2 linked regions of the Nothobranchius furzeri genome follow. Each later gene encodes a partner of the first gene's protein in a complex. Links are inferred from orthologs where the notes say so. Each region holds a gene or a part of one and is shown on either strand. Other genes may lie near its edges.

The links.
Region 2: nup93 (region 1) and nucleoporin p54 share a complex: the UniProt entries of both Homo sapiens proteins name them as parts of the p62 complex. The link is inferred for Nothobranchius furzeri from reciprocal best matches to the Homo sapiens genes NUP93 and NUP54.

What each region holds. Positions count from the first base shown.
Region 1 is NC_091744.1:86,665,399-86,669,154, reverse strand, and holds the start of nup93 (nuclear pore complex protein Nup93), read right to left. Parts: upstream 2,691-3,756; 5' UTR 2,536-2,690; intron 1,479-2,535; 5' UTR 1,475-1,478; coding exon 1,296-1,474; intron 1,122-1,295; coding exon 1,004-1,121; intron 1-1,003. UniProt on the Homo sapiens protein: Plays a role in the nuclear pore complex (NPC) assembly and/or maintenance. May anchor nucleoporins, but not NUP153 and TPR, to the NPC. During renal development, regulates podocyte migration and proliferation through SMAD4 signaling.
Region 2 is NC_091746.1:59,732,475-59,735,850, reverse strand, and holds the end of nucleoporin p54, read right to left. Parts: intron 3,129-3,376; coding exon 3,009-3,128; intron 1,529-3,008; coding exon 1,418-1,528; intron 1,134-1,417; coding exon 1,005-1,133; 3' UTR 611-1,004; downstream 1-610. UniProt on the Homo sapiens protein: Component of the nuclear pore complex, a complex required for the trafficking across the nuclear membrane.

The sequences.
Region 1 (3,756 bases):
GATAATAGATGATGGATAATAGATAGATAATAGATGATGGATAATAGATAGATAGATAGATAGATAGATAGATAGATAGATAGATAGATAGATAGATAGATAGATAGATAGATAGATAGATAGATAGATAGATGATAGATGATAGATGATAGATGATAGATAGATAGATAGATAGATAGATAGATAGATAGATAGATAGATAGATAGATAATAGATAGATAGATAGATAGATAGATAGATAGATAGATAGATAGATAGATAGATAGATAGATAGATAGATAGATAGAGATAGATAGATAGATAGATAGATAGATAGATAGATAGATAGATAGATAGATAGATAGATAGATAATAGATAGATAGATAGATAGATAGATAGATAGATAGATAGATAGATAGATAGATAGATAGATAGATAGATAGATAGATAGATAGATAGATAGATAGATAGATATAGATAGATAGATAGATAGATAGATAGATAGATAGATAGATAGATAGATAGATAGATAGATAGATAGATAGATAGATAGATAGATAGATGAATAGATGGATAGATAGATAGATAGATAGATAGATAGATAGATAGATGATGGCTTGCCAAGCTAAAATCCAAGGGGATTATTTCCAACACTGAGCTCAGAATTTTAAGTGTTTTTCTTTTCACTTATCTCTGATAAGAGACTGAATTAATCACAATTATCTAGTTTTACAGTGTTTGTTATGAGCCCTATAACATCAACCTTCCTGAAAGCCTCACTGTGTCACAGCACAGAATCATATTCCACTGATGTCAAGGGAATAATATAAGCAATCAGTTAGAAAACATTTGGCAGCCTTAAGTCCTGTTGGGGATGTTTAAAAAGGCTTGGCACACGCAACCATTAGAGCATTAAAAGTTTATCTTATTCATCTTACATGAGGCTTGCACTAGTAAGGCATCTGAAGCATTAGAGACTTGCTAGCAGGTGTCAGGACCCAAGGCTTCTCGTTTCATTCATACCTGTATGTCAGTGTCCTTGACTGGTTCCAGGGGCTCAAAGGTGGTGGCAGCACTTAGAGTTTCCAGTCTCTGTGAAATGTGGAAGACGTCTAAACCTCTGGTACCAAGGAGGATGGACCTGTTACAAGAACAAAAGATTGGAGAGGTTTCAACTGGCAGAGAAGTAATTTTACATTGACACCACTAGATGGCAGGCTAGGCTGGCAGGCAAAGTAATCTATCAATTGAACATCATGCCTGAGATTAATAACCTGGGGAAGAAAAGGGTTTAATAACCAAAAAGGTTGCTTACGCTTTCACATCTGCAGCATCTTGAGAGGTGCGAGTTAAGGTGCGGGATCGAAGCCTTTCCCCAGCCTGCTGGATCTCCTGAAGGTTCCTTTCCACATGTGGCAGTTCAGACACAGCTTCTGTTTCTGCAGCCAATTGTTCTGCCTGCTGCAAAAGCTCTCCAAACCCTTCTGCATCCATGACTCTTAACAGGTAGAGAAGTTTATAAATGTGATTTACTTGAAATGAAAACACTGAACAGTTCTCTATGGTAAGTGTTTTGCGGGTCTGGGTTTGTGCAATAAAATATTCCACTAAAAAATATATAATATTTTCATAATTTGCTTAACTTTAAAATAGTATGTGGAATATAAACAAAAATACGTTGTGATTTTACAATGTTTGACACTGTACAGACTTTGTGTTAGAGGTAATTAAAGACAACAGATTACATGACAGGATAGCTTGCCAGTATCTCTGTCAGTAATGACAGAGTGCAACTGTCTTGAAGGGAACATGATGCTCCGTAATCAAATAGTAAACAACTACAATCACAATCATTTCAAACTCCTTAGTTAAAAAACAACTGAACCCAAAAACATACTCTATGTTTTACAGTTTATGATTCATCTTAGATGCGTCAGCTCAGAGCCCAAAGAAGTCAATGTTCACTTTAGACAAGTGTGCACTTCTACAGTCACGTTATAACTTTTATGATGCATGGATAAAAGCTCCTCCTTGCCTTGCAGCTTTTTGATTAATTAAATAAAAACAAGTTTACCCTGTGTTTACATTGAGATACAGCATAACTGAAGATATAAAACACTACTTTTAAAAATTGGATGGTCTAACCTATAATTCTTTATGCTGCCTGGAGTTATAACAAACTGTACTATTTATCTACCAACGTAAAAATGCGTCATGGGGGAAAAGGCTTGAAAGGTAAACATGAGAAAGATTACAGCTGAACAGTTGCAGCGCGCGCATGATGTGCTTGACGAGTTGAGAGATCAATCTTTACGGACGTCAACAGAATACCGTTCGATAGATAAGTTCAGACATTGAAACTGCTTAAGAAATGTGAAAACTCGTACCAGACATTCCAAAACCGTGGTAGCATGCTACAACATAGCCTAGTTACAATCAACCGGCGACGCTAAACGGTTAGCGAGCTGGCTAAGATGCTAACGCTCGCACATGTTTCGACTTCATTTAAATTGATGTTAAATTTCTCTACAGTTGAATGGAGACGATTATTATACCTGTTTTAAAGTTGGATGAAATTACAGTTCAGCCTGTTCGCCTCATGTAAGTGAATAAATGTGCTTTTTAGATAGTTTCGTTCACAGGCAAGCGTAGTCCGCAGAAAGTATACCCCGGTATTTCTGAAGTCGTCGGTGATTGGTCAATTCAGACTGTATAACGGTGCGCATGCGTCTGTCGTCACATGCCTCCTTCAGGGTACTTGGGGAATCCTAGTCAAAAGCAAAAGATACCTATTATTTTCATGTGTGTCATTTTTTGTTTTCCGACTAACATAACATATTTAACAGTGTACATATTTGTTCTTTGTACGTATATTTGTATCCCTGCATTGCTTTAAATAGAACTTATATTAAAAATGATTAGAAGCATCGAGAGTAAAATACTTGGGACACATCACAACCCTAACACCGTACACGTGAAATAAATGAAACAAATCTTTTCATTTTTCATTTATCCCTGCCACTTGTCTTAATTGATACTTTTAATAAACATATATATTTTAAATGACCTAATACAATGCAGCCAATGGAATGATATTTTCTGTTTGTTTTTTTGTCGGCTCTAAACAAAAACACTGAAGCGTGAATCACAAAGAGCAGATGGGTGCTGAACTCCTGCTTCCAGACTCAACTGTGCAATGATCTGGTCATCTGGGGCACAAGCCCCAGAGCTACTTCATTATGTAACACAGTTTATGGGCACATGGACATAGCTGCACAACTGTGTGACGTTTTGTGATAAAACAAAAATCTTCACACAAACTTATTTTGTTCTTGTTCCATGAGCTGCATACGTTTCTGTCAGTGAAATAATTCAAGTGGCACAAAATTATTTAGAAATGAAAAATCTGACATTATTTGAAACAAGAGTGAAAGAACGTGCCACAGAAGTTTTTCTTTTAAATGTCCATATAAACTCAACATGTCCTCCTTTAAAAACAATAAAAGGTATAGAAATTAATGAATGAGCTTGTATTTATACTAGTATATAGTAAGTTATTGATGCCTTCACATATTGATGCTATTTTAAAAACATAAACACCACCAGAGAATGGAAAGCTCTTTTTTATCTGACATCTTGCGACAACGTTGTGATCTTTTCTGGCACGCATTGTTCTAAATCATCCTTTTTATTAAAGCTCAAGTTCTTGTGAACCACTGTTTAACACGTGTTACTTTTTGATATTCCTTTTTTACATCATAGTTGTCAAAGAGCTG
Region 2 (3,376 bases), on another chromosome or scaffold:
TGAAAACTACTTATGTATGTAGGGTTGCTCTTATGGAAATGTAGCTGAGGCCAAATGTTTGTAAATCTGAAGATGGAGATCAGTGATGAGGCCATCACTGATCTGGCTCAGACATAGTTCATGGAGGCCTTTCGTCTGGTGGACCTCTCCTCACACACCTGATGGCTGGATTGACCCGGAGCTTTAGGAGTTACTGACACGCATGTGTCTTCTACCCTTTTAAAGCTTTATGGAATATACTTTACTTTAAAATTCACGTCTTGTTATTAAATGTTCTTTTTAAAATATTTTTCATGTTTACTTTCATTTGTTCTTTGACATTTAATTCAGAACGTTTGGATGTGGGCGACACTGTTGCATGATGGGAAATAATCTGTGTGAAAGCCTTCACCCCAAAAGGAAAGCAAATCCACAACATAAATCCTATTAGCTCCAGCCGTGCTCGGATGAGATGCAGGTAAGTGAAAGTCTGAGGAGGTAAACAGAGAAGGTCAGACGACTCGTATAAACAAACTGTCTAAACATGAAATCCAACATGGCAGAAAAATGGCCAGTAAAAAGGTGGAAATTTTAAAATTTCAGCCTGAATCAAAGTAAAGAAGCGCAACTGTTATCAGCTTTACACTAAATTTATTATTATTCTAATAGTGTAAAAAAGAAAGACAAACATGTATTTACATAGTTTCAGACCATGGAGCACATTTAATCCTACCTTGTTTACTTGCTCCAGACATTTATAGTCGCATCAAATCCATAATCTGATTAGACTGAAGGGTAGCCAGCTTTATTAGACACCACTGAGTCTCCATCAGGCTTCTGAATGTAGAGAAGCTTTCTTTTATTGATTAAAAAAGGTGTGATTTAATAAACCCACCAAAAACACAAGAAGAGAGCAAACAGATCCTTTCCGAGTCTGTTCATTTAGACCTTTGGAGCTGTGGTCGAGACATATCTGGTCTGGGTGAGAAGCACGCCTCGCTCCAGACTGATTCAGGCTCCTGGGCTCAGCTCAGGATGCCTCCTCTCGTGTGGCCACGATCACTCAGTCCATGCTCTATCAGTTTGATGTCCTCCAGGTCTTCTTTAATGACGCTGATCAGGTGACTTAAACCATCTTGCTGCTGCTTCAAGTGCTGAACGTGTGAGAAACGCAAACACTGTTTAAAATAAACCGCCATGATACACAAAGCTGTGCTTTTAGAGATCTCGAACACGTGGAATTATCACAATGAGTTGTTATTTAATTTAAGCAAATAATTGGTGTTTTTCCTTCTTTTTCACTCAGAAAATCAATATAAGAAGTTTTTCAAGAAGTATCAAGTCTTCAGGTCACAAGTTCAGGATTTTGTTTTTAGAAACTTGAGTAAAAGTTCAGGAGCAAAAGGACAGATTTTAAAGAGCAAAGGTAGACTCTTACTTGTTTGATTTCTCTGAGAAGACCAGCATCAACGCTGTAGCGCTCCTCTGACCTCACAGCCCCAAAGTGGTTCTGCATTCGAATCTGAGACATTAACTCATTCAACCGGCCCTGAGAAAGACCAGAGGACACAAACACAACATTAATAAATGGAGCTTGTCCTAAAAGCAGAACTAGTTTAATATTTAATAGCTGCAAAGTTCACTCTAGAGGCCGAGCAATATGGTTATTTTTAAAGGACGATACCGATTTTTTAAAAATTTTGTTGCCCATGGCTGATGTCTATAGCAGATTATTATATGTGTGTGTGTGTGTGTGTGTGTGTGTGGCAGCTGGGTCGCCCGGGTGAGGGTGTATGAAGATTAAAGACCCGAAACACCCTATGACCCCGGGTTCTTCACTGATGACGTGTCCAAGTAGCACTGGAAGGTGTATTCAATTTCTGTGTGTGTGTTTGTGTGCATGTGTGTTTCAGCAGCACATTGATTGCGAAAGACAACTAAACACTCACTGTGTGCAAAATAAATGAATAAGTCTGTAAATCTTTTAATATTTATTGAACTTCAAATATAAAACAAACTCAAAACATAAAAAAAAACCGACTGTGTTGGGGTCCTTCGGGTCCCTTCTTCAATTTAGTAATGGAGGCAGTTGGCCACACGAATGACTGATTTTTTTTTTAATTGGCTTGTAATAAATATTTCGGCTGTAATAAGGCCTAGTCCACACATAGCCGGGTTTTTTGAAAACGAATATCCGCCCCTCCAAAAACTTGCATCCACACCACTGCGTTTTAAAAACAAACTCTGTCCACACGTACCCGGATAAATACGTTGTTAAGGACATGCCAGACCTGTAGACGGCAGTACTTCCCCCGTTCTTAACCTCGTACTTTGTCTGTGGTCTTCCGCAAGGAGCAGTAATTCCGCTTGCAAAAACAAACAAGCAGAAAGCGCTTGGACAATTGATGGATCGGGTAGTGACAGAGCGCAGCTCTGAGGGCTTCCATGATGCCGGCTAATGTAAACACAGGTCGAACACGTGATGTCAGCATTTTTTTGTCGCGGAGAGTGACGTTGCGGACCTTAAAACTCCGGTTTTGTCCGTCCACACGCAGACCCCCAAAACGGAGAAAACGCAGATCTTCACTTTGGCCGGAGTTTTTAAAAAGATCCGTTTTCGTGTGAAAAAACTCCGTTTTCGTGTGGATGACAGGCCGAAACGTAGAAAAATATCTACGTTTTGGCAGATCCCCGGCTACGTGTGGACAGGGCCTAAATATTTCGGCTGATACAGAGAAAACTGAATATATCGGCCGGCCTCTAGTTCACTCTGTTCTTTTAGATTCACAAAGACTCCAACAATTAAACGTAAATATGGTGAATCTTGTTTACTTATGAATACAGACTATAAAAATGAAAATGTGTTTTATAAAGTACTGCCTGACTGAAAGGTGTAAATGTGCTAGTAGATGGTTTCAGGTCAACATTAAAGCCTTTCTATTAGTTTGAAGTTGATTTCCTGCTTTACTGCTTTAAAGGCTGAACCCGTGTACTGAGAGGAAACGCTGCTCTGCTTTAGACACACTTGCCTTGAATTGTGTGGGTGCATTGAGTTCTGACTGGATGGTGTCCAGCTGCACTCTGAGATGCTCCTCGTCCACTTGTATGGCATAACCGCTTTTTCTCTGAATCTCCTGTTTGATCAGCACCTGCAGGAAAGTTAGCGGCATGGCAGAATGATTAGAAGTGTCAGCAGGAAGAGATGCAGACATGCCAGGTCATTCACATCTGACCAGAAGCTTTTCTTGGAATGAAAAAAATAAAGAACATATATTTGAAATGGATTTTTCCAACAGACATTAATCTCTTCAAAGACAGAAACTGCACCAGTGCTGCTGAGCTGAGCTCTTAGAACGTCAGCTTTGTGTCGTTTACATAAATCTTTGTCTCAGATGAA